Linked DNA regions of Notamacropus eugenii. The protein of the gene in region 4 purifies or fractionates together with the protein of the main gene of each other region. This does not show direct contact. Links are inferred from orthologs where the notes say so. Each region holds a gene or a part of one and is shown on either strand. Other genes may lie near its edges. The genes, in order: VPS33A, VPS39, VPS41 and PLEKHM1.

Region 1 (7,339 bases), on a different chromosome or scaffold from region 4:
AGCAATGTAAATTGAAAGAACCATCTAGCAAAAAATCAAGTGATTCTAGCAAAATTGCGTAGCTCCAGCAAAGACTCAAAGAGACAGGAGAAACACTTCCCCACCCACTTGTTCACTGAGTGAGGTTCACAGGTGGTGCACACAAGCATGTTGTGGGACTTTTTCACTCTACTCATAATATGTTGTACTGATTTCTCTCTGTCTCTTCACCACCTTCCAACAGTATCTGTTACATAGGATGGCTCTCTGGAAGGAGACAGGGGAGAGAGATTCTGTGAAAAACTAGACAGCAATAAAAAATTATTTTAAAAAATCTACACAGCATAGACTAACCAACTAATATGGACATGAGATCAGTCTAAATTGCCTGGCCTTTGCTAGGAGGATGGCATTAGATGCGCAGGTGGCCATGAGCTTGAACAAAGATGATAAAAGTTTGTTCATAGCTTTAATTTAATTAAACTGCTGACCCAGAAAGCAGAGGTGTCAAACTTAGGATCAGCAAAAACTTGAGTATAGCCTGAAATAAGTCAAAATGTAATTGGGAAATGTTAAAAATAAATAAAAATACAACATAGATAACAATCATTTGTGGTTTTCTAAGTTGGTCCTCATGCAGGCAGCAGAGATTCTATTTGAGTTTCATACCACTTGTCTAGACTAGAGCACTCTGGATACTGGGAATGTTAATATTCATGAAGGCTTAGCACTTCAGATCTGTAAGAGGGGTTAAAAAGGACTAGAATCGGATCTAACACACCCATCAAATACTGCGAGATAGCTATCATGCCTCCACTAAGGGATATTTTGCAGACCAAATGTGCTCATTTCTTTCAGCTGATCTCATGGAATCATCTCTGGTCTTTCCCCATACCTGGAATGTACTCTCTCCTTACCTCCTCCTCATGGAATCCTCTCTTCCTTTAAGAAACAGTTCTGGGGGCAGCTAGGTGGTGAAGTGGATTGAACACTGGCCCTGAAATCAGGAGGATCTGAGTTCAAAAATGGCCTCAGACAGACACGTGATACTAGCTAGCTGTGTGAACCTAAGAACATTATGACTATTAGAACATAAGCCCCTTGAAAGTAGCCACAGTTTTCATTCTTTCTATTTGCAGCCCTGGTGCCTAGCATGGAGTAGGCTCTTGATGCTGGTGGGACTCTGGATGCTGGATCCACTTTATTTGTGTCCTGAAACATCAGGGTCCAAAACTGAAAACAACACAACTTGTTTATTCCTGCCTGAAAGATCTCTCTCTCAACACAGCCCAGGATCTTACCTTTTGGGGGCTGCTTGCTTAGTGTTCACATTACAATCCACCACAAACTGCTATTTAGCCATGCCTCCATCTTGCACTTGTAAGTTGATTTTTTTGAACCTAGGGAGAAGACTTTACATTTATCCCTCCCTATCTTTTTTGATCTAGTTCTGATGCTAGACAGTCAAGTTCTTTTGGGCTTCTGACTCATCTACCTATTACAGCTATATATGGCACCAGCAAGTTTGATGTTTTCTACACATTTATCCAAATCACTCATCAAAGTCTTAAATAGCACAGGGCCAAACAGAGAGATCCCTGGGGCCTGACACTGGAAATCTTCACCCAGTGCTGAACCATCTGATTGCTTACTAGTCCACTCCTCTTCATCTTTTCCACAAGAATAGTATGTGATACTTCATCAAGTGCTTTGCTAAAATCTAGGCAAACTATATTAAATTCTCCTGACTGACTAATTAAAAAACCCTGTCCAAAAAAAGAGATTACTTTGCTAGGACCCACTCTTGATAAAGGCAACTCTGGCTTTTTGTTACAACCACTTTCTTTGCTAGTGGTCTTGCCACTGGACTCATAACTCTGGAGACAGGGAGGCTGAGGACCTTGCATAGCTTTACCTCACTTAAATCTGATTCATGAGCAAGTGAAGACATTAGATGTCATCAGTTCTCTTGCAGAATGAAGTACAAACAGCAACCAGACTGAAGGGAATGATGGATATAGTTGACCTAGAAGCTTCTGATAAACGTTTTCATACTGTCCTTGTGCAGAAGATGGAAAGATAGAGATGGGACAATAATCAGGTAAATTTAGAACTTGCTGGATGGCCAGATTTAAGAATAGCTAGTGGTAGAATATTCCAGAAACCTGTGCTTGTTCTGCTGTTATTTCTTATTTGTATCAGTGACTTGGATAAAGGCATGAAGTTCACCAAACAGGCAGAGGACTCCAATATGGGAAGGACAGATAAGATCCAAATGGATCTTGAGAGGATAAAGCAGCACTTCTTAAATTGTGGGTCATGACCCCATGTGGGGTCTAGAAAATTTTGCCAACAATAAAAGGTTTCTGAATGCAAAATGACCAAAATTAATTTAAAAAAATCAAACGTCATGAATCTGAGGTATTTCTGGCAGTGTCTACTGTCAAATTCACAGGTACAAGATGGAGGATGGGTGGGAAGGAGGCACAACGGCTCATCCCTTATGCTGAAAAAGACTTGGGAGATTTAGTGGAGTGCAAGCTCCTCATAAGTCAGTAGTATGGTGGGCATCACCAAAAATACTAATGGGATCTTATGCTGCATTGAGAAGGGCACCATTTCCAGGAATGGTGAAGTGAGAGCCCCACTGAACTCTCTGTCTCTGTCAGACCTCATAGGTAGTTAGTTGTATGTGTAGTTCTAAACATCAGTTTCAGAAGGACATTGATGAACCAGAGAAGAGTCCAAATAAGGGTAAGTGGAATGGTGAAGAGTTATGAGGATGGGTTGAAGGAACTGGGTTCTTTAGCCTAGAAAAGATGCAGAGGGGGAATATGATAGTTATCTTCAAGCATCTGAAAGGCTGTCATGTGCAGGAAGGATTAGATTTCTTCTACTGGCTCCAGACGAGGGAATCACTCTAAATCTGTGATCCCATTATCTTAGAGAACAACTGTTGAAATAAGTGGATTTTGGTACAAATTGAACACTTCTGCTAACGTAGATTTCAAAATAGGTTTTATAGGGTTTTTCAGTACTAGTTGAACACTTCTGCTAATGTAGATTTCAAAATAGGGTTTTCTAACTAAAATGAAAAAATCTAACATGGAAATTAAAAAGAATAAGCCAGTGTTCATGAGATCATAACATTTAGGACTAGGAGGGCTCAGAAGTCACTCATTGGACTCTTTCATTTTACAAATGAGAACAGAGAGAATTGTGGTGACATGCCCAAGGTCACACAGGGCGTTTTCCAGATTCTACCAAATCTTGTGGGTAATCTCCAACTCTCCTTTACTGTTTCCCAAAGTTTCATCTTTATAAAGAAATGCTTGTCACAAAATTTAAAATAGGACAATACAGCAGAACTGTTCCAGCTTCAGTAAAATCCAGTGTACGACTCTTTGGTGACTCCATCCCTCAGTGGGACCAGGATGAGCCTGTTCTGTAGAGGGAAACAAGGCTAATGGCCAGCCTGAGGACCTTCTTCCTCTCTGAGAGGCTCATGGCCCCAAAACACAGGGCTGGTTGTTCTGTCTTTCTGTCTGTCCTGGCGCATCCAACCTGTGCTCCCAGATCCTGACAGCAGCTGCGTTCCAGGGCCTGGATTCCCAGCTCTTTGTGGCAGCCACCCTGGTACCTACAATCCGGGACTGACACCAGCTTCTCCGTCCCCTCCTCTCCAGTCACGTCACGTCCAGACACGAATTTAATGGGACCGAGGTTAGGTGGGTAGACGGAGAAACTCAAGCGCGCGGAAAGCAACCTTTCCAAAGAGGCGCAGGTAGCAAGGGCAGGGCCTCCCACAGCGAAGCCGCAGACGGAGGCCTTAGGCCTTTTTTACACTTTGAACCTAGGGAAAAGGTGGCGGCTGGAGTCAGGCGGCCCGAGTTCAAATCCTGCCGCGGACGCTTCGCAGCCGCGGGATCCGCCCTGTCTGCCTCAGTTTCCTCGGCTGGAAAGAGGGGGCGGCAGTGGCGTGCTCCCGGCGGGGCTCTCCGCGGGCACCCATCTGGAGGCGGGATTCCTCCTTCCCCCTCACTTCCGGGGCACGCCCATCGGCAGGCCACGTGACGCCCGGCCCCGCTCCCTGCTGGGACTGACGGGAGGCTGGCGGGGGCTGCACGTGCACGGCCTCGCTAGACAGGAGAGGAAACTGAGGCCCAGAGGTTCCCAGGCGTGTTACGTCAGGCTCCCGAAGCGCTTGATGCCTCGCACTTCCGCCGCTTCCCTGGAGACCCCCCGGGCAGGACGCTGGGAGGGGGGAAAAGAAACCAGGGTTCAGGAACAGCCGTGACTCGGCCTCCGCCTCGGAGCTCCCGGGAGGGAGGGGGCCGCCCCGGAACACGCAGGGGCTGCCGGGAGCCGATGCGCGCTCCCCGTGCGCATGCTCAGAGGCGGTGGCGCCCCTGTGGCCCGGGCATTTCCGGCTCCGCCTGTCGCGCGTCACGTGCGCGGAGGCGCGATCAGCTGACTGCTGCTTCGGTGCGCGCTGAGGGCCGTCGGGCGCGGGGAGGGGAGGGGAGGACAGGGGAGGTGCCGCTGCAGGATGGCGGCTCACCTGTCCTACGGGCGTGTGAACCTGAACGTGCTGCGCGAGGCGGTGCGGAGGGAGCTGCGCGAGTTCCTGGACAAGTGCGCGGGCAGCAAGGTGAGGCCCGGGCGGGCGCGGAGGGGAAACTGAGGACCCCGAGGTCATGGGCATGCCTTCCCCCGAAGCTTCTCGACATCCTTCGGCTTCTGACCGACAGCACTAACGGGGGTGGGGGGGCCGGGCGGGTGCCCTAGGCCGGCCCGCCGCCAGGTGCACCATTGTCAGAGCCTTCGCGATAAGCGCTTTTCCCAGGGCGTCTGGTGCAAACAGGACCCCAAGGGTTTTGAGTCCGACGAAATTGGGCCCGGGCGGGAGGACGCAGAACACCCATGTGACGCCGGTAGAATTTTGGGTGGTTGTTGAGAGCTTAAACCTGTGACGTTTGCAGCAGGTGTTTGCCTCCCTTCTTGGGGCCCAGACCGGCCTTCCGGGGGCCTGCCGGCCGCCCCCAGCGCTTCCCAGGTGGTCACTGACTCTACTCTTTGCAGGCCATAGTTTGGGATGAACACCTCACGGGGCCCTTTGGGCTGATCGCGCAGTACTCGCTGTTGAAGGTAAAGAAGATAGAGTGGGGGGCAGGGGCAGGGGCTGGGACAGGGTCAGGGTCAGGGGCTGGGGCTGGGGCAGGGGCAGGGGCTGGGACAGGGGCAGGGGCAGGGAATGGGGCTGGCGCTGGGGCAGGGGCAGGGAATGGGGCTGGCGCTGGCCTCCTGGGGCAGGGGCAGGGGCTGGGGCAGGGGCTGGCCTCCTGTGTGAACTCCTGGAGCTGTCACTTTGAGACCCCTCTGTGACTGGAGGTGCTGATGCAGCTCATATCCAGCCTCATCCTTTCTAACCATCACACACATGTCCTGCATATTATGATTTGTTATTGTCTCCTTGAGCTGTGTCCCACTCACCGTGACCCCGTTCCTGGAGTGGTTTGCTCTTTCTTACTTCAGCTCATCTTACAGTTGAGGAAACTGAGGCAAGCGGTGAAGTGACTTGCTCAGAGTCACCCAGCTAGGAAGCGTCAGAGGCTGGATTTGAACTCAAGAAGAGGAGTCTTCTTGACTGTAGGCCCAGTGCTCTCTGCACTGTGATGCCACCTAGCTCCCCTTTTTTCTCGGTACTTTACAATTACACCTATATGGTGCTAAGCTCCTTAAAAGCAAGTGCTTTTTTAAGTGTTTGATGAATTGAATGTTCAATTTCAAATCCACGTCTTCAGTTACAACTTTTGTCTTTTCCACAGGAACATGAGGTGGAAAAAATGTTCACACTTAAAGGAAGTCGACTGCCTGCAGCTGATGTCAAGAACATTATTTTTTTTGTCAGACCCAGGCTAGAATTGATGGATATAATTGCTGAAAATGTACTCAGGTATCTAAGGAGGAAAAATCTTAAATTTATTTAAAACTAAAATGGTGTTTAATTCTTACATTCCAGCTTTTGAAGAAGAGTGTGGATGGAGTATGGATTACATTCAGAATGTGAGGTGGCTGTCATAGAAAAATGGATAGGGTGGAAGGGTGGCCAGGCTAGAAGAGAACTGAGCCTAGAACGTTAGAGCTGGGAACTTTTGCTACTGGGAATGCCTAGAATGTTAGAGATGGACATTAGGGGTCATCTAGTACAACTCCCTCACTGCATCGATCAGGAGATTCTTGGAGGAAAACCTTCAGTGGGGGAAGTAGTACCATAGGCTATAGTTGGCAAGGACCTTGGAGGGTGTCCAGTCCAACCTCCAGAAGCAGGATTTGAATCTAGAGCCTCCTGCTTGATCTGAAGCCAGGGCTTTAGGGTCTCTGTCCCATGCTGCCTCCTCAACAAGGCATTAAGTAGGAAATAGTAAATTGGGCCCTCTGTGTGGCCCCTTTTAAAGGTATGAGGCAGGCTCTCCTGGGCCGACTAGGGGTTGGGCAGGGGCAAAAGGAGGAGGAAAGATGAATCTGTCGACTGAAAGGAACCTTCCACGAGGACCTAAAAGATCAGATTACAAGATTTAGAGTTGGAAGGGACATTGGTGAGCCAGCGCCCTCATCGAAAGTCCAGAGGAGGAGCCTGAGACCCAGGGCACTTAAAACACTTTCAAGGCCACTGGGAGGCAGAGCACTCTTGCCCAGATCCCGTGTTGTATTTGTTTCCTAAACCCAGTCTGCCCTTTTAGAGGAAATGAGGCTCTACTTATGTTTCACAAGAGAAAGTAAGCAAAGCATTTCTAGAGCAAAAATGAGATCCTCCTGTTTACAGAGGCTTCCCTGTAGCCCTTGGGATACTGGGCTGATCTCTTTCATGGGGAGGAATAATAATTTTGACGGAGACAGTGATATCCCTGCTCCGTAGATCAGGGGCTGTTTTTCATTCTGTTCTCACAGGACCACGCACATCACAGACCCTTGGTCAACACTGATTTAACTGAATGTTAACATGTATTGGGAGTCATCAGTTGGAAAAAAGGAAAGGAGAACACAGAAGGAAGGAATCTTTCAGAGGCTTGCTGAATAGTTTAATCAGAGGCTCCCTCTAGTTACAACATCGTTGATTAGTTGGATTTACTGCTACATTAAATCAAGCACGTTAGTGTCACAAAGTGTAACATAAAGCGTTTAAAAGAGGATTTCAGTGTGGTTGTTATCAAGAGGAAAGGGAAGGGAATAAGCATTTATTTAATTTAAGCATTTATTTAATTTAAGCATTTATTAAGCACCTCCTGTGTGTCTTTAAAAACATGTCACTTTATTTTCACAACCCTGAGTGGTAGGTGCTGTTATTATCCCCATTTTA
Region 2 (7,083 bases), on a different chromosome or scaffold from region 4:
GCATCACGTTCTCTGACTGTTGGTGTCTTTTTTCTTCTACAGAGCACTTCCAGCCCTTCTAGATTCCGATGAGGTCAGTAAGCAAACTTTTTAAAGTAAATTCTCTGATCTTAGAACGTGCAAGCCTCATTAAGGAGATTACTTTGACTTTGTTTACCTAATGTCCTAGAGAACTATTGTTAAGGCAGTAATAAAAAAGTATGGAATGCAAGACATAATAAAAATATAACTTTCAAGTGTTCAGGTTTCCCCCAGTCCCCCAAACATTGATGTAAATATGTGTCTCTTGAAAAGTTACAGAACCAATCTACATCTTTGTGTAAATTATATATGGCCAACCTAACTCCTCCCTCTTTACTAATGTCCTCCCTAGATGACTTTCACCTGATGTGTTCAGGAAATACAAATGATTTTCATATTAAATTAATTAATCTATTAATACTAAATTAATTAAATTAATTTTAATATTAAAGCTAAATTTAATAAGGAAAATTAAACAGCCACAAAAATAATGTAGCACATCAAAAGCAAATGGGATTTTTAACTGTCTGGTTATTCATGCCATTATTCAATACATTGTAAGTAATTGACTAGAGTAGGTTTAATTTTCTTTGTGTTAGTTAATTTTTGCAGTCTGGATATTGAATGTTCTAGTAATGTGTAAGCTTGGTCCTTTTTGATTTCTGGGAAGCTGTCAAGGTCATTTTGATGGACTAGATCATGGGCAGATTTTTTTTTTGTCTTTTCTAATTACTGTATGATAATAGACAAATTCCTTGATTTCTCTTTTTTCCCAATTTCCTTGTTGGTGTAAACTGAGAACAAACAGCCTACAAATATGAGCCCTGTACCTCTTTCTGGCCTCTAGAATTGAGTCTACCAAACATCCAGCATTCTAGGACTTGTGTATAGACTATTATAGTGGCAAGTTCCTAGTCCTCTCAGACAGCCATCCAAGCTAATCCTGTACCCGAAGTTTGTTTCTTTAGCAAACTTCTGACCTCTGCTCACCTGCCAGGGCAGCACTGCCCTTAAGGGCTGGAACTAGAGGGACATAACCTTTGGTACAATTGCAGATAAGTTTACGTGCATATGACAGCCCTGGCTTTGCCAGTCTCTCTCATCTTTGTGCTTTTTGCCTGAAATAACTGCACACTACTTAGCAATCATCTCTACTTATTAAAAAGGTACGGTGTCATTCAGCTATTAAAACTGTCAATGGAAAATAGAGTTCCTACTTCATGCTGTTCCTTATGGTGGACGTATGTTCTAAAATGTGTACATATTAAAATATCAACATGCCTAATCTAAAGAAGAAAAATTTTGAACAAGAAACCATGGCCCCTCTAAAAATAATCCTTTTTTTGCCCTAGGAAAGAATGATCACGCACTTTGAAAGATCCAAAATGGAATGAAGAATGGAAAGTTTTCAGGGCAGAGCTTGTTAGCGTCAGGGAAGAGATCAGCATTTGTGTCAGACTTCTGCTGCTGCTCCACTGGCTGAAAGAAGGCAGTGGAACCCCCTGATCTGTTCCTTGTGAGAGAGAGGCGTTGCAACCAGACGAGCATCCCATTGGGAAACAGGTCACAGAATAACAATTCCTCATAAAAAGGTCCTGATTTACAGTTCCCCCTCTGCCACTCCAAATCCCTGACTTGGATGTTTAAGCAAACCACATGTATTGTTTCAGCGATTTAATTTGTCAGACTGAAATTTTAACACCAAAGGGACAAAGTCCACAATGTGTAATGCCCAGAAGCAACTGCCTCTGATTTTATTTATTTTTTTGGAGAGGTGATGGGGAAAGTTGTTCATTATCCTTCAGATTCCTGAGGAGCAAATGTTACACCTTGCAGAGCTAGTTGGGAGATGAAACGGGCCCCTTTGAGTTAAGGAGTCCCCAGTACTATCAGTGATTAAAAGTACCAAAAAATAGAAAGATTTGAAAATGTTAACAGTGGGATTCAGATCATTTTTTAAAAGCAAAATCAAGTGCAATTTTGTTTACAAAATGGTGTATATTAAAGATTTTTTCTATTTCAGATGTAATTTAGAGAGAAAATATTAGCTTAAAACTCTTTTGATGTCTGCTGTTGTGACACACCCCGTTGCTGGCAATGTGGTGCACACCTGAGAACTTTGAACTACTGCTCCGACAGCCTCTGAGTGCTGCATTGCTATCTCCTATGCAATGCTTTGTCTGCTCTGGCATCACAGGGTAGTAGATGTTCCCCTGGTATTGCAGCAGGTGCAGAGGCTTTCCTTCCACCTGAGAGGATATGAAGAGGACAGCTGATTATAAAGGAGGCAGGTCCTTCCAGCTTGGTTGAATATCCCTGTACGGGGTAGGACACACTAGGGTGAACTGTTCCTGTTTCTGGGGTTGGTTAGGAGTGGTTAGAGGCGTCCACAAGGGGAGTTGCTGAATTAGAAATCACTTAAAGAACTCCATTCTGTTCTAACAGTTTTCTCAACTTTTGCCTTCCCAAGTTACGGATTTCTGTTCTAAATACAAAAAGTTCATGCCACTTTTTAATATTAAAAACCTTAAAGTCAAAACATTTCTGATTTTTTTTCAAATTTTTTTTTAATCACCTATTTCCAAAAGTCTTGTACCCTCTGTTATGGGGAAAATGTTCATTTCCACACCCGTTGATTGCTTCCTAGACTGGAAAACTGCTGGTCAGAGAGCCTCCTCCTAAAAAAGTTTTGTACAGACTGCCCCAAGTTTCACGGGCAGAACTCAAGTACCAGAGGTGAAGCCTGGCCGCCCTCCCGGGTTAGCTCCCCAAGCAGTTACCGTGTTTGGTACTGATGCTGGCTGTGCCATGGCTTTGAGGGGCACCAGCCGGAAGTCTGCCGGGGGGCCCAAGGCCACACCTCAGGGACAGTCTTTGCGTTACTGGAAGTGGGTAACCGCGTGCCACCTGCAGCAGTTATGATCAGGATCGACCCTGACTCCTTGGGGGTGGGGTGGGGCCGGACGTGCTGCACCTGGGCCACCCCGCGGGGGCTGCCCCTCCGAGCCTGGGGCGCACAGGCCCCTGATCAATGCGCGCCCAATCCAACTGGAAATTCCTGTTTCTTGGCACCGAGTCCAGAAATCCCTCCTCCACTCCGAACTTTTAGGCGCTTCCACCTTCTCTTTAAACTGGTGTTGTGGGTGAAGGCCGGCCACGTTCAGATTACGTCTAGGCCCAGGACCTGCGTGGAAACCTCAGCAAAGAGGAGGGAATTTGGGGGGCCTCGAACGTAGCAGTGAGGGAACCCCCGGGTGACCCACGCCGCGGAGGGCGCGCCCCTCACCCAGGCCCCGGAGCCAGAGGCCTCGGGCAGAACTGACTGCGGGTGGAGAAGGTGCAGAAGAGGACAGGGAGGGGCCCCCTGGTCTCCACGGGGGGGGGGCCTGCTGGGGGCGGGGCGGGGCCCCCTGGTCTCCACGGGGGGGGCCTCTTGGGGGCGGGGCGGGGCCCCCTGGTCTCCACGGGGGGGGCCTGCTGGGGGCGGGGCGGGGCCCCCTGGTCTCCACGGGGGGGGGGGCCTGCTGGGGGCGGGGCGGGGCCCCCTGGTCTCCACGGGGGGGGCCTGCTGGGGGCGGGGCGGGGCCCCCTGGTCTCCACGGGGGGGGGGCCTGCTGGGGGCGGGGCGGGGCCCGCCGTCCTCGCAGCCCCCTCGAACCCCGGCACACCGCGCTTGGATGGGGGACGGACAATGACCCTCATTTGTCACTAACTTTAGAGTGGTATTTATCATTTCCGACGATAAGAAAAGGGCCGCTCTTCTCAGAAGGTGACCATGGGCTTCACTAGGCCGACAAAGGGGTCCGTGACTCCGAAAAAGGCAAGAGTCCCGGGACTACGGAGACTGCCGAGCGCGCGGGACGCAGCAGTGACCGCGATGGTGCCTCGGGGTTTAGGAGGCGGGCGCTCTGGCGGAAGGGGCGGGGCCTCGGCGGCGGAAGGGGCGTGTCATCGCCGTCGGAGCAGGAAGTTTGGAGCTGTCGCCGCCGCCTCCGTCCCCGCCTCCGCCTCCCCCAAGGCCGTCAAGGCCCAGGGTTCGTCCCCGTGGCCCCGGATCCCAAGATCGCTGCTCACGCCCCGGCCGCGGCGACGCGGGTCCCCCCGCCGCCATGCATGACGCCTTCGAGCCGGTGCCGATCCTGGAGAAGCTGCCGCTGCAGATCGACTGTCTGGCGGCCTGGGGTGAGAGGAGGGGGGCGGGCGTGTGCGCGTGTCTGTGTGTCTGTGTATCTGTGTGTCTGTGAGTGAGTGTGCGTGTGTGAGCGTGCGTGTATGTGTGCGTCTGCGTGCGTGCGGCTGGGCCTGTGGGGGGGGCCCGCCGTGGGGGAGACCGCGAGCGGAGCCGGCGTCGCCCCGTCGTGCGGGCGCAGGGCCGCGGACCCGGGCGCGGGGGTGACGTCCCCGTAGCACCCGGAGGCGCCGAGCTCCGCACCCCGCGGGCTGCTGTGGGGCGCGTCCCTCCCCCGGCCTAGAGCTCCGGAAGGCCCCTTGCGGGACAGAGCCAGGCCCGGCCCGTAGCCCTGCGCAGCCCGGCTTCGGTGTTGGAAGGGTTGCCCCAAGTGGTCCTGGGGGTAGCCCGGGAGCGGGGCAAAGATCCGGGCCTGGGTGATGTAGACTGGCTTCGCCGAGCCGAGGAAGCCAATGAAAACCCTTGGTTAAGGTGTTTACTGGGGGTCACTTCTGGGGATACGAACGCAAAAACAGGCAGAGTCAGCCCTTCGTGTCCGTGTCCGTGTCCGTGCCTTGCGATGGGGCAGACCAAACTCAGACCCGCACGTGTAGCTTGGGGAATGGTAGAGTGACATCCACCCTTCCTAAAGAAAGCCCAGCGTCTTCGGCCATGGCCAGGCTGAACCTGCCCACGGGTGGATGAAAGCCGTAGCCGGACAACTGATAACGGATGAGTTGGGGTGAATTTGGACAATTCCATTAACTTGAAAGTTTTTAACGTTAGAGTCGCATTGGGGCTGAGTGAAATGAGTGTCCGTCGGCAGATGTGAAATCATCCGGTGGAAAAACCTGACCCGGCACCTAAGCAGATTTGCTGTCATCCCTTCTGCTCCATTATTCTACCTGTACCTTACAAGCTTGCCTTCACAAGTGTTGTACTTTCCTTGAAATCAGGCATCGTTTAAGAAGCTGATCCAAATTTGGGGGGTCAAGAGAGGATCCCACCTACTATAAAAATATTTCTGAAACTGCGGTCTCTCACCATTAAGTTTAGGACAGCAAGGACAACATATTAATAGAGTGTGTGCTTTGTATATGAGCGATACCTAGTAAATATGGTATAGGAAGTATACTGCTTTAGAATCTTGACTTCTAGGAGGGAAAGGGTCATGTTATATGATGAAGGTGAATGCCCAGCACGTTTAGGGCTCTCCATAACCATTTTACACACATACACACGCACACTATCACACTGTCTCCTCCATAGTTTTGTCATTGACTTGATTTATAACTTACATTCAGTCTGCCTCAGGTTTTCCAAGGGTACAGCTAACTGACACGCTGAACTTTCTTACAAGAATGTAAGGCAGATTGACAAAGTCATGTGAATGTACTTTTTCTTCTTTCCAAGGAACATTAGATCACATGAAACTCCTATCTGAGTTTGGTTTGAGAGAGATATGGTTTACCTTAAGAAATCCCAAGTAAAAGAGTGACCAGATAGTTTCAGTCCCTGAAGAATACTATCTACTACTCTGACCTATACCCTTATTTTGTAACTTCTTTGATCCTTGATCAAGGGAACATTTTAGTAGAGGTGGAAAACAGGACAGTATGTTATTAAAATATTATTTTGCTTGCTCACTGCTTTATGAGGCAGTGTTGCTATGATACCACCAACTGTGGGAAAGGCTGGGAAATTTTGTGGACTATGGTTTTTTGGACTTTCCTTATGGCTTTTGAAGAACCATCAAACCTAAAAGTTTGCTCTGCCACCTGGCATTCAGCTAGTGAGATATACATACATTCAACCTCTACATATCCCTACAGAATATCTTTAAAAATAATTAATCCCTCCACTCTGTGAGTGACCTCTCCTGATCTGGGAGAATTAGCTTATTAGAATGAGCCCAGTTTTGGGCTGGCCCTGATTTAGAGGACTCCACAAAACTTAGTCTTTTTCTTTCTTTTTTTTATGTAGCTTTTTATTGATACCTTTTCTTACATCACCTGCATTTCCCCCGGAGCCATTCTCTGCTCCTGTTTTTTTTTTTTTTAAAGATTAGAAGAGAAAAACAAAAGTTTAACACATTGAAAACATACACAGTGTTCTAAGCAGGAATATATCTTCCTTTTTTTTTCCTTAGGGCCATTCTTATTGATTATAACGTTGCAATATTCAGTTTCAGTTGTTCTACGTTGTTGTAGTCATTATCTTATTTTCCTGACTTTGCTTACTTCGGTTTGCATCAGTTCATATAAATCTTTCCATGCTTCTCTGTATTCATCATGTTTGTCATTCCTTACAGAACAGTCATAGTCCATTACATTCATATACCACAATTTGTGTAGCCATTCCTCAGTTGATGGGTATTAACTTTGTTTCCAGTTCTTTGCTACTACAAAAAATGCTGCTATAAATATTTTGGTGTACTTAGAGCCTTTCTTTTTCGTCAGTGACCTTCTTGGGTTATATGCTTAGCTGTGGAATCTCAGGGTCAAATTTCATGGACGTTTTAGGCACTGGAGTTGTATAATTTCAAACTTCTTCTCAGAATAGCTGTACTAAGTCAGGGTGCTATTAACAGTATATTAGTACACCCGTCAATCCCTCCAACATTGACTTTTCCCACCTTTTGTCATCTTGGCAGTTTGCAAAGTCTGAGATAAAACCTCAGGATGGTAATGATTTGCCTTTCCTTACTCATAGTGATTTGGAGCATTCTTTCCAAGCTGTTAACAGAAATATTTGATGCTAATATTATTTTTTCCAAGGTGCTGGATTCTCTTCAAGGCTATCCCAGTGCCTTCTTTTTGGGTCTTGTCTCTTTTCTCCACCAACATTTTTGAAGTCCCAGGATAGTAGTCAAAAACAGGTCCAGGCTTCAGAAT
Region 3 (7,904 bases), on a different chromosome or scaffold from region 4:
TGAATTAAAAAGTATAATGTGTTTATAAAGTACCTTTCAAATGTTAAGGCACTCTATAAAGGTCAATAATTACTACTGTTGTTATAATTTCATCATTATTTACAGAAAAAATAAAGGCAAAGATGGGGAAAAAAACTACTGCCCATTCCTTTCATCAATTTTTGTTGTTATTTGGTTGTTTTTCAGTTGTATCTGACTCTTCATGACCCCATTTGGGGTTTTCTTGGCAGAGATACTGAAATAGCTTGCCATTTCCTTCTCCCAAACATTTTTGCACATGAGAAAACTGAGGTAAACAGGATTAATTGACTTGCCCAAGGTTGCAAAGCTGGGAAGTGTCTGAGGTCAGATTTGAACCCAGGAAAACGAGTCTTCCTAATTCCAACACTCTGTCCACTGCAAAATCTAGTTACTAATTAATTGAACATTTATCAGCACCCGTTGTGTGCTGAGCACTGTGTGCTGGGGTGCTGGGGCAATACAAAGTGTAGGTAAGTTATGACACTGCCTTCATATGAGCTTACAATTTATATGGTTTTCTTTAGTTCTGCTATTGATTTGTATAAAAATGGGTAGTAGGAATGTATAAGCTTAAAAGATGTAAGATGAATATGTTTAAGCTAAAACATTCCAATATATTAATAACTTGTTAAGCAAAATAATAATCATCCTAATAGCTCACTTTCTGAAGGATTTCATACTCATAGTCTCATTTGCTAGGCAGCCTAAGAGTGAGAAGAGAGATGGATTTGGAGTCAAAGGACTGGATTTGAACTCATATTTTGCTTCTTATTATCTCTGTTACCTTTGTTAAGTCTTTCAACATCCCTTGGCCTCAATTTCCCTACATGCAGAAGGAGAGGATTATACCAGACATTTAAGATTTCTGTTTTAAATCTATGATACTATGATTCTCAAAACCACCTTTGAAATTCATACACATATGATTCTCCATATTTTACAAATAAACTCACTCTTAGTGAAGAAAAGTGACTTGCTCAGTCATACATCTAGAAGTGTCTGAAGTGAGATGTAGTCTGAAATATTCCTGATTCAATTTGGAGCATGGCACCCAACAAAAGAGACCCAAGTGATGCTAAAAACTTATCTAACATGGTTTGCTGTGATTGAAGAGGACAATCTGAGCCCTGGAAAGATTATTTTAGGATTTCCTCCTTCCTATGACCTTTGCGGTAGTTTCAGTCATGTCCAACTGTTCATGACTCCATTTGGGATTTTTCTTGACAGAGATTCTGGAAGGGTTTGCTATTTCCTTTTCCAGCTCATTTTATAGATGAAAAACTGAGGAAAACAGGGTTAAGTGACTTGCCAAAAATCACATGCCTAGGAAGATTTAAAATGAATCCAAATTTAAATTCAAGGTGAGTCTTCTTGACTCCAGTCCCCGCACTTTCTCCTTTTTATCCCCTCCATCACCTAACAACTAGGTTTGCCTGAACAACTGAACAACAAGAACTTTCTCACCCCCACTGAACCAATACTAAGATTTTATGTCTTATTTTTAGGGCTCCAGACTTCCCTTCTTCCCTTCCTCTATGGAGTATGCTCAAAGACACCATTCCTTGTTCCAATGAGCATGTGAAATCTTGGTGAATGTGCTAATTTCTACCATGGTGACTTCTCAATTCAATCTTTTGGGGATAAAAAAAACTTGGCATTTTAGCATGGCATGATAAATCTGTGAGCGGTGCCTTGATTTTCCTCCATCTCCTTGGCAGTATTGGTGGTGGGATATTATATTAGTTAAGGGACCTCTCCTAGTTTTGAATCTCCTGCACAGGTCATGGGTGGGGTGTGGGGAGTTGGAGGTACTCTGTTTCTACACTCTGTACCACCCTCATATGGGACATTAATTCACCAGGAGCACTTGTTCCTAGGTCATCATCATCAGACTTTTCTGCTTTAGGAATCCTTCCCTGTGTAGGTGATGGAATATCAACCTCTGAATGGATATATCTAAGTTTGATGGCAACCTTGAGAGTCTGAGACATCTACAGGCCTGAGGTTCCATTAGTTTGGAGCTGGATGGCAATAGGGAAAGCTTCTATACAACAGAAGATGATCACTGACTATAAAAAATTTAGCATTTGTAGAGTAATAGGGAAGAGAGATTTTTAGATTTAGAGACCACAGTATCTCAGTGCTATAAGGGATTTTGTAGCATGTGGTCCAGTTAGAGGTCTAGCTCTAATTTTCTCTTGAGTTCAAATAAGTATTCTTTCCTTTTTTCATACCATTTTTGTCTAGATCTTTTAGCCTAGTTATCTTACCACTTCTCCTCAAATACCTAATAGATGGTGTAGTGGTTAGAGCCCGAATTAAAAAAAGCATGATTTAAAATCCTGACAGACACTTACTTAGTAGTTGTCTGACCTACGTAAGTCAATTTTCTTTCTCAGACTCCTCTGTAAAGTAAGGGTAACAATAATAGCTACCTCACAGAGTTGTTGAGAGAATCAAATGAGGTAATATATTTAAAATGATTTGCATTCCTAAAAGCGTTATATTAAATCAATGTAAAAGTTGTTACTTTTGCAGTTTTTTGAGCCCTGGTATAGAAGTATTAGTTTGTATTCATTAAGTTTCACCTCACCAGATCTGATTGATCATTCTCGTTTGTTGAGATATATCTTTTTTTTCTGGACTCTATCATGCGCTGTATCATCCAAGCTCCCCAGTTTTGTGTAATTTATAAATTTAATAAAGATATCTCCATTGTTTTTCTCCTAATCATTAGTCAAATGTTGAACAACACAGAAAGAAGAAGAAATCCATGGGGCACTTTACTAGGGACCTACTTCAACTGACCTTGACCTATTAATGGTCCATTTATTCAACCACTTCCAAGTACATGCAGATGCCTTATCATCTTACCTACATCTCTCAGTTCTGTTTACAAGGTTGAATGAAACGTTTTAGTGCAAAATTTGCTGAAATGTAGGCATACCTAATATTCAACATTTCCTATGATGCTTTCAAAAAATGGAATGAAGTTAGTCCATGATCATACATACCTGATGGAAGGTAATTTTTAAAGAAATAGAGTGGGTGTGATATTGGCTAGCATTTACATAGTGCCTTAAAATTTGCAAAGCACTTCAGAAATATCTCACTTGATCCTCTCAACAATTCATTTTTTAGGTGATTAAATTGAAGTATACAGAGATTAAATTATTTGCCCAAGTTCATGCACTTACTAAATGACTGGATTTGATCAGGATCAGGTCTTCCTTACTCCAAGAACAGTCATCACCCCCACCTCCTCCTCCCACTGTACCATCTAGATAAGAGTTCAGCAGAACTTTCTAGGGAAGAACAAAGCAGGATAGCATCATGGGAGGAGTAGGGCTGGTAGCAGGCGGTAGCAGGATTTCCTTTGGGATCAGGAAAAGCGGAGGAATTTGCATCTTGTATTATTTATCTTATTCTCTAAAACCTTTCAAAGATCATTTACAGCTCTGAAATCATTGTCTATTAGTGGGTTTTTTTCCCTAGTACCATGGATATGGTTTGTTTTGGCCTGGTAACTTGAATCTTTGAGGACAACTAAGTGTTGTTGTTCAGTTGTTTTTCAGAGCTGTCCAAATTTTTATGACCCTATTCTTGGCAAAGCCACAGGAGTGGTTTTCCACTTCCTTCTCCAGCTCATTTTACAGATGAGGAAACTGAGGCAAATAGGGTGAAGTGACTTTCCCAGAGTCACATAGCTAGTAAGTGTCTGAGGCCAGATTTGAACTCAGGAAAAGGAGTCTTCCTGACTCTATGCCTGATACTATGGGAGGTTGAGCTACCATGGGAGATGGCCAACCCCCTTCCCAACTAGAAAGCATAGGTAGGATAAACATTTTGATGGATATTGTAGAAATTATTGTTATAGCGAATAGCTTGAACTAAATGAGATCGCTTAAACTTTTGAGTCTGTGATGGTCAGGTCATTTAGCTGAGTTCATACTTGAGCTGAATCCTCATGTAAAACATCTCTGACTAGTGATCATCCAGCTGTTGCTCACAGACCTCTACTGATGAATTTTTCACTAGCTTTTCAGCCCATTCCATTTTTAGGCAGCACTAATTTCTCAGTTAAGAAGTACTTTTACTCCCCTACTATAGGCTGGATGGTTTTCTAGGTGCTGAGAATAGAGAGAAACAAGTGAAGTAATCCTTGTCCTCAAGATTCTTACATCTCACTGGGACGCCATGTGTACCTAAATGGGTAAACGACGCACACAAAAGAAATATAACGTGATTTTGTGGGATATCAAAAAGAATTCATGTAGATGGTGGGTTTGTTGAGAGTTTTAAAAACATTTTCTTCCCTGGTGAAGCAGTGGGAAGGCATCCACTTTTCGGGAGCTCGGAACACTCGGAGAGCAGTCTCCTGGGCAGCTCCGTCAGAAGCTGGACAGCTCCTCGACAGCTCCTCGAGAGGGCGGAGCTGCTTCAAACTCCATTTCCCAGCATGCATTGTGTCTCCGAGTCCGTAATATCCTATACGTCACTTCCGGAAGCGTCCACGTGATATTGCCGGCAGCACCATGGCAGAAGCAGAGGAGAAGGTGGGTATTTAGGCAGTTGATGGGGGTGTGGCGGGGGGGGGGGGGGGCGGGTGGCCTTGTTCAGGGATCTGCGTTGGGTGAAGTGCGGCGGGGACATTGAGGCAGGTGGGGAGCTCACCCGTGTTTGCCGGGTGCTGCCCCCGTGGTCATTATAAAGCCATTTCGGGGAGGTGAAGAGCGAAGGCACGCCGGGCATGGGGCACAGCTGATGCAAAGACTCCGAGGCCAGAGATGCACTCCCGTGCTGAGATGTCGGCGCCGGCAGTAGCCAGAGTGCCATTGACAGGAGGAAAGAGGGAGTGATTTCGTTCTCCTGGTAGAGCATCTATGTCCAAACATGGGAGCGCTGGGGTGCTTCAGGAACAGGGCAAGGTGTGAAGGGTTTGGGATAGGTGTCTGTGTGCCGAAGGGCATAGAAAGGCAGCCTGGAGTAATGGGTAGAGTCCGGGACTTGGGGCCAAGATCTGGATTCAAATTCTGCCTCTGGCCTTCATTAGCCGGGTGACCCTGCTCAAGTCACCCGTAAAATGAGTAGTTTGGATTGGGTGATTGAAATCTAGAATCCAAGGAGAGTGTTCAGCTCCCATGGCCCTCCCACGAGAAGCTCACACAGATTAGGTGATCTTCAAAGTTACTTTGTATCTATCCTGTGTTACTTTCTATCTATCCTGTCATACTTTTTCTCCAGACTGGCTTTGTTGTTCGTGTATTTCTATATCCTCTCCCCCGCTACCGCTCCCCCGCCCATGCCTCCTGAGTAAATGAGGCCAGAGTTCTGAGGCAGAGGAAAGTTGGTCCTGGTGGAAGATGGTGCTCCTAGTTAGGGAAGGCTTCCAATTTTCACTTCCTGTCATTGCAAATCCAGATGCTGTTCCTGGTCCACTTTTTCTCCTTCTCTGTGACTTCGGTTCTTAGTGTCTGTCTGAGGTTTTGCTCCGTATTCCCCTGACATCTTCCTTGTGCCCCAGTCTGTCCTACCTACCTGACAGGTATCCCTCCTGTTGCCACCTTGCGGCCCTTGGAAGGAAGTCCCTGGCTTGATAGTGCACTCTCCTCACCAAATTATCTTAGATTACTTATTTGTTTAAAGGTTGTAGTTCTATAGAATGTAAATTCTGTCAGCTAAGAATTGATTTCCCTTTTATCTTTCAGAAGCCAACGGTTTCTTGCGCAGAGTAGGAGCTGCTGAATTTAATAGTTTTTTAAAAAATGATAATGATGCTTAAGAACTAGGTTAGCGTGAGAAAAATTTGTGCAAAATTTCTGGACAGCAACACTAATAACAAGTTTGGTTGTTGGTCAATTGTGTTTGACCCTCCATGACCCAGTTTGGGATTGTCTTGCCAAAGATACTGGCCTGCTTTACCATTTCCTTCTCCAGCTCATTTTACTAATGAGGAAACTGTAAACAGGGTGAAGTGACTTGCCCAGGGTCACACAGCTTGTTCATGTCTGAGGCCAGATTCGAGCTCAAGTCTCCCCGACTCCAGGCTTGGTGCTGTATCCACTGAACCACCTAGCTGCCTCCTTTAATTTGGAGTCCCCTTCATTTCTGCAGGTAATAGTTTTTGGTTCGTCAATACATTAGGTACCAAATGTTCACAAGTAAAATTGAAAGGTATAGTAAAGTGCTATAAATATGACTGGTCTTTCATTGGGGACTGAGGGGCAGGGAATAAGTATATATTTAACACCTACTATGTGCCAGTGCTAAATGTTCCACACGTATCTTCTCATTTGCTCTTCACTTGAAAGGCCACTTTGTTCTTTCTTATAAAAGTTGTCACTCTTTGTTTAAAGGGTTTCATGTTTGTCACCTTGAAGGTATGTAAGAAGGAAGTTTGTGAATGATCTGGTAGAAGAAGGGAGCTCTCTCCTGTCAAGTCTTAGTTTCTTCAACTGTAAAATGACTTGAGGCTCTATGACCCCTAAAGCTCCTTGGAGTCTCCCATCTCCCACAGGTCCATTCGTTCCCAGTGGGGAATATGAAGACCAATAAGACAACCTTGGGCCCCTCTTTGAATCCCCCTTCTTAATACCTGGGACCTTGGGCAAGTTAATTAATGTCCCTGGGCCTCTGTTTCCTAATTTGTAAAATGGAGGAGTGAGACTTCAGGCCTCTTACATTCCTTCTGTCTCCAGTTGTCCCCCTAAGATACAATGTGGATGTAAATAATAGTAATAGAAAGAAGGTGAGGCCCATGGGGCGTTCTGTGACTTCAGAGGATGGCCTGATCTTGTATACCTGAGGGGAGTCCCCCTACTCATAACTGCCATGTTAACAGTCCCAGGAGACAGGGTAAATCAGCCTTCCTGCCCCCACGTTGTCTGTTATCTCCTAGATAAAATACAATTTGCTCAGCTTTCTCTCCCACCTTCCTTTTCTCTCCAGTAGAATTTTAAACTCCTTGAGGTTAGGCCTTACTTTACTTTGTTAATTTCTTTTGTCTCTGTACCTCTATCCCCCCACCTCACTTCGAGTAGCGCTAAGGCCAGGAATATGCTCTTAACTGGGTGAAGGGAAGTGGAAGAGGTGCCCCTGGCAGGATGGTGTGGAGGATCCTGAAAGCTGAGGGAATGCTGTTTGGCTGGAGGAGAGGGTGTCCTGGGACCGGGCGAGGAGACTGCTTTGTAGGATGGGGTGTGCTCAGGGCACTGATGGGTTAGGAGGCTGCAAAACCATTTCCCATACTTCTCATGCTTCTCATGATGTTGAGCCTGTGGTGATGGCTGAATCCCAGGGATGTACCTTCTCATTTGTCAAAGAAAGATTAAATTGTGTTCTGTATAGCTTGAGTTAAGTTGTTGAAATTGGTAACCTGTGTTTGTTCCCAAGTGCAGTTAAGCTAGCGTGCGCTGGTTCAGTTGCTTGCTGTGTGGCAGGCACTATGTGAAGCATGCTCCAGATTTTATTTCATTTGATCTTCACAGTAACCCTGAGAGGCAGGTGCTGTTCTTGTCCCCATTTTACAGCTGGTTAAGTGTCTGAGTCAGCATTTGAACTCCAGGCCCTTCATCCTCTCCCTTGTGGTTCTCCTGGGTGCCATGGGATGAGGGTTAGGCAAAGGCAGTCCCTGCCTCAGGGAGCTCCTAGCCTAATGGGGCACAGTGCTGTGCTGAGTAACAGCTTCTGAGGTCGGCTGTCTGGCTGTGAAGTGTGTACCTTTCCCGGAGTGTTTGTGAAATGGAGTGTGATCCAGATGTTGAACCCAGAAGTCAGTTAGGAGCTGTCTGCAGCATTCCAGCTGTATCTGAGCCCTGTCCCACCATTGCCACTTAATCTTTTCACTTGAATTCAATATCTGTGCTACTGAAAATGGCTGGAGT
Region 4 (7,317 bases):
ACAGATTTAAGCCTGACCATTCCTGTACTGAGCAGCTAGGAGTTTTCCTGGCTCCGTGGATGTGGATCCAAGTAATTGTTACTTTAATGGGAATAATAAAAATGTATGCATTTAGCCTGTCGCCTTTTTCTTAACCAAACTTTCAGGTCGACAGTACCTATATGTGTGTATATGTATGCTGATAATGTTTAATATAAAATTTTGGAATAATCTCTTTGTTCTCTCTGTTGACCAAGAACTTTGTTAAGAAAAGGCAACATGGCTAAATGCATACATTTTATGATTTAATTAATTAATCAATTCCCTATTAAAGACAACGGTAACATAATGCATTATGGAGCCAGAAATGTTCTGGCTACCCAGTGCAGAAATCTTCTGGCTTATATACATTTTGCCGTGAGAAAGGAACTCTCCTAGTTGAACAAATCATAAATTCAGTAAGACAGGACAATTAACAAAGCAATGTCAGTCAAGTCTTGAGATTCCAAGCTGGGTAAACATATGTCCCAGGTGGTAAGGAAATCCCACCACTAGTAAGTGGCAGGCTTCCTGCCCTAAACAGATAACTGACATAGGAAAGGGTAAACAAAGTTCAATAGAAATTACGACCTAAGATGTCTGTGTTTTCTTTACCATTAACATGCCATAACATAGTGTAGGTCTACAAATATTAAGATATGGAAAACGTCCCATTATTCAAGATAGTGTCTTAGGTTAAAGGTCTCCTTAAGGAATGTAGAGTCAGCCTTGGCTGGCTTTTGCTGACATAGGAAGAGGCACTCTCTGAGTTTGCTTCAGAGAGAACAAAGAGACTATTCCAAAATTTTATATTAAACATTATCATCTCTGAAGCAAACTCAGAGAATGCCTCTTCCCATGTCAACAAAAGCCAGCCAGGGCTGACTTAACATTCCTTAAGAGACCTTTAACCTAAGACACTATCTTGAATAATGGGACGTTTTCCATATCTTAATATTTGTAGACATTGTTGACCTGAAAACTTGGTTAAAGAAGGCAACAGGCTGAATGCATACATTTTATGATTTAATTAATTAATTGATCAATTCCCCATAAAGAAAACAGTTACATAGCACTATGGAGTCAGAGGTGACTCTGACTACCTAGTACAGAAAACATCTGTCTTAAGTACATTTTGCCATGAGAAGGAAACTCTCCTAATTAAGCAAATCATAAATTCAGTAAGACAAGACAATTAACAAAGCAATGTCAGTCAAATCTTGAGATTCCAAGCTGGGTAAACATATGTCCCAGGTGGTAAGGAAATCCCACCACTAGTAAGTGGCAGGCTTCCTGCCCCAAACAGATAACTGACACAGGAAAGGGCAAACAATGTTCAATAGAAACCCAGGATGCCTATTTTTTCTTTACCATTAATATGTCATAACATAGTATGTGTCTATAGATAATAAGATACAAAGGAAAGTCCCATTATTCAAGATATGTCATAGGTTAAAGGTCTCCAAGGAATGCAGAGTCAGCCCTGGCTGGCCTCTGCCGACACAGGAAGAGGCATTCTCTGAGTTTGCTTCAGAGAGAACAAAGAGATTATTCCAAAATGTTATATTAAACATTATCAACATATACTATGTTATGGCATGTTAATGATAAAGAAAACACAGACATCTTGGGTTGTAATTTCTATGTGAAACTTTGTCAAACTTTGTTGTCTTATTGTATTTACAACCTATGCAATTAAGAAATTCCTTTCTAATGGTCTAGTTAATCACTCATGGAGATCATAAATCTGAAGGACACACAACACTTCTTTGTCCTAAAAACATATTTAAGGCTGCCCAATTCTTTGTATCAGTAGCCAGAACATTTCTGGCTCCATAATGCATTATGTTACCGTTTTCTTTAATAGGGAATTGATTAATTAATTAATTAAATCATAAAATGTATGCATTTAGCCTGTTGCCTTTTCTTTAACCAAGTTCTTAGGTCAACAATGTATAACATATACACTCACATACATGTGTATAGTACTGAGAGGATTCAGACTCTGGGAACCTCCCTGAACTTCCCTTGAATCTACCCACTTAATCTGGCCTTTCATATTCAAATCTGTTGCCCTTGGCCAAGCCTGGCCTTCCATTGTCTGTTACCTCCGGATTGTTCCACCTGCTTCCCACCCAAGCCCTCCATTGTCTGATATCTCCTGATTTCTTCCAGCTGTTTCCAACCCTTGATCAGTCACCCCAGCCAGTCACACTGAAGTCCTTCTTGGACTTCTCCTTAAGACCCTCCCTAAACCCCTCCTCCCATCACCCTAGACTACCAGACCACCCCCAGATCCTTCCTACAGTCTTTTCTGTATTTAAGTTCCATCTTGCCTCCATGAAGGCGCTCAGATTCAATCCAGCTCAGACTCTGTCTCGTTGAGATTCTATCTGGCCTGCTTGTGAATACAAGCATTACAAATTCTTAGGCTCCTTAATAGTCAACCCAATATGGCGAATCTTTAATAAACTTTGTCTTTCTTTGGCTTTAAGAAGGCTTGAGTCGAATTCATACAAGCAGGACCCAGCCTGTCGGTATTTTGGGGTCCCTAGCACTCCTGAACCTCAATAGTACTATGTATATATCTCTGGGAAGAGAATACCCTCAGGGTTTCTGGGTCAAACAGAAACAATTGCTATTTACATTCACCCTGAGCAATCAGGGCCCAAACAATGATTCCATGGGCTTGGGCTAGGATCAATTGGCCAATCAATGAGAACCACAGTGATTTGGGTTTAAGGCATGGTCCTTAAGAAAGAAATCTAGCCTGTAAACCCCAAGATGTCTTAGAAGGTTTCAGCAATCAAAATTTATATTCCTTTGCACAAGCACCAGCAGGTAAGGATATGTATGACACCCTATGTGGAAAGGCAAGGCAAGGATTTGACCTAGTAGAGAATGAGGAAATAGGAAGGAAAAAAAACCCTGCATCTCTCCAATAATTGGTTATTTAGTTATCATTTCTCTCAGTAGTGTAAAAAGAGCACTTAATTAAAAATAAAAAAAGATTCGGGCTCACCTGATCACTTGGACTTAAAAAATGTGTGACCTTGGGCAAGTCACTTAAAATGGGGATCGCAACATTGTTAATGGATGCTTGTAAATTGTTAAGGATAAAGAGAGGGACTAGATCTTTGCTATTTCATTGGTACAGGGAACTCCAACAAGAGCAAACTCTCTCAACTGATGCTGGACAGCACCATCTCGGCAACTTAATCAACATACATCAAGGGTTCTTAACTTGGGGGTCCATGAACTTGCTTTTGAAAAATATTTTGATTTCAACACTAGTTTCCTTTCTATGCCTGTATATTTTATTTTATGCATTTAAAAACATTCTGAGAAGAGTTCCAAAGTCTACGCCAGGCTGCCAAAGGAGTCCATTTGTTTTACTTGACTATGATGGTTGCAAGGGCTGGGCTTTTTAAACTGCAAAACAAGAAAAGAGAACCTTTAAAAGCTCCTTCTTTAATAAGATTATCTCTACTTTGTCCTGTATTTTCTTTGTAAGCTGTTTGTCCTCTCTCCCATTTGACTCGGGAGAGTGAGTCTGTTTTTGGTTTTATTTTGCTTTTCTTTGTCTCACACAGTGCTTGGCATACAGTAGGCGCTTAATAAATGCTTGTTGTCTTGACCCTTGGTATATATATATATATATACACACACACACATATATATACACACACATATGTGTACACATATATATATATTCCCTGTACCAATGAAATCGCAAAGATCTAGTCCCTCTCTATCCATTCACACACACACACACACACACACACACACAGTGAGTTATTAAGCGTCTTCTCCAGGGTCACCCTGTCAGGACGTGTCACAGGTGGGACTCGAACCCAGGCCTTTCCTAGCGTTGAGGCCGGCACTCCCAGCCACCGCACCGGGCTGCTTCTCTAAGGCGTTACATCAGTTAAGGTTGGTTGGTGGGTCCAGCCCCGTCATCTGAACACAAGGAAACTGAGGTCCTAAAAGAGGGTCGGGAACAGAGGCTGGGGGACTTTCGGCTCCAAGCGGCCGCTGGGCCGAGCCAGTCCGCAGGAGTGCGCCAGACGAGCCCTTTCCGCAGGGTCTCCCTGCCCAGGGGCTGACAAATGGTTAGCGTAATAACCGGCCCCTAGCCGCAGTCCCGACCCGAGTGTGCCACCTCCACGTGCGGTCTCCCGAGCCACAAGCCCCACCCCCACGGGACCTCGAGGCCGGGGATTGGCTACACGGGACAGGGGGCGGGGCTCACTCCAGGCTGACGTGATGGCGTCATCAGCGGCCGGAGCAGCTTCCTGTTTTCTCTGCCCGGGAGGCCGCAGCTTCCGGTCAGAGGCGCAAGGGTAGAGTCTGGAGGCAGTTCTAGTGCTCTTCGTCTACCCTGAGGTGAGTCTGGGGTCCCCGTGAGGCAGCGGTCGGGGATGGAGGGAACTCAGACCGGGTCCCAGAGAAGGTCCGTGTCCCAGACCCCCCATCCCGCTTGCCCCTCTCGCCCCCCTCCCGGACCCTCCTCCAGGACCCCCCGGGCCGTCCCCGCACGCCCGTGCCCTTGCCCCCACCTGACGCTCGTCCCCACCACGCCCCCTCCCCCAGATTTCCCACCCTGGACCGGCCTCCCTGCCCCCTAGCCCATCACCACCTCCTCACCGCGATCCCTCCCTTCAGCTCTCTTAAGCCCTCGGCTCCCCCTTTCCCACGTCTTCCTCCTTCCCCTGCTTCAGCCCCCCCCCAACTCTTCCCGCTAATGCGTCCCCTCGAGGCTTTCTGCCCGACCCGTCAGACCCCCCCGTTTCAGCCTCCGAACCTGACCCGCCACACACGGTTCTCCACTCTCCCATTCAGATCACTCCATCGCCAAGCATTTATTAAGCGCTAAGCGCCGGGGTACCGTGGGGGGAGGGGGCACGCAGAGGCCGGCCTTCCTCTGGAGGAGTTCGCGTTCTAACGGGGAGATGGACGCAGAGGCGCCTGCTTCGGGGGGCTGGGGCTGGGCTGGGCTGGGCAGGACAGGACAGGACTGGGCTGGGAAGCCCCCGTGCAGGGGCAACTTGAGGAGTTCCAGGAGGCTGAGGTGAGAAGGCACAGAGACGGGCCCTTCGGCTTGGACTGTGGGCTTGGTGGAGTGGGGCAGCTGATGGATTGGACATGTGGGACAGGGGAGGAGGAGAGGATGACATCGAGCTTGGGAGCTTGGGTGATCGGAATGTAGTGATGCCCTCTCCAGGAAAAGGCAAGTTTGGAGGGGGGCGCCTTTTTGGGGTAAAGGTAATGACCAAAGCCACCTAGGTGGCATGGTGGATAGGACTGGATCTGGAGTTCAGATCCTGCCTCATGCTTGCCATATAACTCTGGGCAAGTCAGTTAACCTCCGTGTCCTCATCTGTCAAATGTGGATGACAGTAGCACCTTTTCTCATAGGGTTCTTGTGGCCCATGTGAATGCTAGCTATGATTAACGTAAGAAAAATAGGAAGATTAAAAGAGACCAGGTTATAGAGAATTAAATGCCAAATCGGGTGTTGTATTTGATCCTAGAAGTCGTAAGAAGTGAAGAATTTGGGGACTTTGGGATAGGGCAGTTATATGATCAGACCTGCACTTTAGAAAAATCACTTTTAACAACAGTATGGAGAGGGGAGAGAAGTGAAGCAGGGAGACTCATTAGAAAGTACTGCAATATTTTTTCAAGTAAGAGGTGATGAAGGGCTGAACTTGTGTGGTGCTTGTGAAAAAAGGAGGGGGGTGTCTTATGCCTGAGATGCTGTGTGGATAGAGATAACAGATTTTGTTAGTTGATTGGATATAAGAGGGTGAGTGAGAAGGAGGGAGTCTAGCATGACATTGGGGCAGCTAGGTGATCCAGTGGATAGAGTGCCAATCCTGGAGTCAGGAGGACTCATCTGAACTCAGGAAGATCTGGCCTCAGACACTTCCTGACTGTGTGACCCTGGGCAAGTCACTTAACCCTGTTTGCCTCAGTTTCCTCCTCTGTAAAATGAGCAGGTGAAGGAAATGACAAACCACTCCAGTACCTTTGCCAAGAAAATCCTCAATATGGTCACTAAGAGTTAGGCACAACTGTATAGACTGAAAAATAACAACAAAAGCGTGGCATTGAGGTTGCAAACCTGGGTGACATGAAGGATGGTATTGCCCTGTACAGTATTAGGGCAGTTCAGAAAAGAAGTCGTTTTGAGAGAAAAGAGAAACAATTCTATTTTGGGCTTGTTGAATTTGAGCTCCAGTTCAAAATATCTAATAGGTGGTGTAGTAGAAGGTCTAGGACTATCGGGTGTGTGTGTGTGTGCGTGCGTGCGTGCGTGTATTTATCTGCATATAGATAATAATTGAACTCATGTGAGCTGAGGGATCACCAAGTGAGTATAAAGAAAAAAAAACTTAATGTACAACCACACTTACTGGATTTGACTTCGATAAAAATCCAGTAGACAGATTTGTGTGATATATTGAAACTGTCAGACTGTCAGTGGAAAGAACCAAGAGAGAATAGGAAAACAGAAAGTTCAAGGAAAGAATATCTAGGAGAGGGTAGTCAGCAGCAGTGCCAAATGTTTCAGAGGAGTTTAAAGGGGGTTGGTCTTTTTTTGGTCCAGACTCCCCACCTCTTACTTAGCCCTGCTCCTGGTTAGGACTTCTTTTTCAGATCACTGTCTCCAGGCCCCAACACTACTTACAGCACTTCAGTTACTACTGAATCTGTTGACTCTCCTTCCAACCTCTGTGTCAGATTGGTTGGTCAATTAACAAAATTCTGTTACATTCCGACTTTGTGCTAGTCAGTGTAGATACAAATATAAAGAATGAAACAATCCCTACTCACCAGGAACTTAAATTCTAATGGAGGAGACAACAAGGACATATATAAATATATTCGAAATAAATAAAAAGAATCAATTTATGTGACTGCTGACCTAGACCCAGGGTCCTAACCTAAGACAGTCCCATCTTGCCCTATTTTGTCAGTCTGGCCAGTTTTACCTGCTAAGCCTTGCCTTTCTCATCTCTCTGTTTTACAAACTTCTTGATTCTCCTGTACCCCGAACTCCTATTTACTTATACACTTGCTCTGATCCTAGCTTATAAGTCCCTTAAGTTTGCTGTCCACCCCAGCTCTGTCTCTGATTAGGTCCAGAAAAGTCAAAACTCCCATAACTGGACTCTGGCTTTATCATTTGACCAATCTTTAGTCCTTATCTGCTTAGTCCTAGAATTTGTGTTTCTGGCTAAATTATCCCTTGTCTCAATCACTGGTATGGCAGGTGTCATCAAATACTTTGCA

The links.
Region 1: the proteins of PLEKHM1 (region 4) and VPS33A purify together in Homo sapiens (affinity purification with western blotting; 3 studies listed by BioGRID and IntAct, with this or other methods). This does not show direct contact. The link is inferred for Notamacropus eugenii from reciprocal best matches to the Homo sapiens genes PLEKHM1 and VPS33A.
Region 2: the proteins of PLEKHM1 (region 4) and VPS39 purify together in Homo sapiens (co-immunoprecipitation; 3 studies listed by BioGRID and IntAct, with this or other methods). This does not show direct contact. The link is inferred for Notamacropus eugenii from reciprocal best matches to the Homo sapiens genes PLEKHM1 and VPS39.
Region 3: the proteins of PLEKHM1 (region 4) and VPS41 purify together in Homo sapiens (affinity purification with western blotting; 4 studies listed by BioGRID and IntAct, with this or other methods). This does not show direct contact. The link is inferred for Notamacropus eugenii from reciprocal best matches to the Homo sapiens genes PLEKHM1 and VPS41.

Annotation. Positions count from the first base shown.
Region 1 is NC_092875.1:37,522,663-37,530,001, reverse strand, and holds the start of VPS33A (vacuolar protein sorting-associated protein 33A), read left to right. Parts: upstream 1-4,333; 5' UTR 4,334-4,528; coding exon 4,529-4,630; intron 4,631-5,061; coding exon 5,062-5,127; intron 5,128-5,807; coding exon 5,808-5,935; intron 5,936-7,339.
Region 2 is NC_092878.1:28,617,030-28,624,112, reverse strand, and holds the start of VPS39 (vam6/Vps39-like protein), read left to right. Parts: upstream 1-4,074; 5' UTR 4,075-4,130; coding exon 4,131-4,203; intron 4,204-7,083. Other genes in the region: TMEM87A (transmembrane protein 87A), read left to right, coding at 43-73, 1,374-1,415. UniProt on the Homo sapiens protein: Regulator of TGF-beta/activin signaling, inhibiting SMAD3- and activating SMAD2-dependent transcription.
Region 3 is NC_092874.1:480,214,692-480,222,595, reverse strand, and holds the start of VPS41 (vacuolar protein sorting-associated protein 41 homolog), read left to right. Parts: upstream 1-4,889; 5' UTR 4,890-4,904; coding exon 4,905-4,949; intron 4,950-7,904. UniProt on the Homo sapiens protein: Plays a role in vesicle-mediated protein trafficking to lysosomal compartments including the endocytic membrane transport and autophagic pathways. Acts as a component of the HOPS endosomal tethering complex.
Region 4 is NC_092873.1:348,254,032-348,261,348, forward strand, and holds the start of PLEKHM1 (pleckstrin homology domain-containing family M member 1), read left to right. Parts: upstream 1-4,315; 5' UTR 4,316-4,404; intron 4,405-7,317. UniProt on the Homo sapiens protein: Acts as a multivalent adapter protein that regulates Rab7-dependent and HOPS complex-dependent fusion events in the endolysosomal system and couples autophagic and the endocytic trafficking pathways.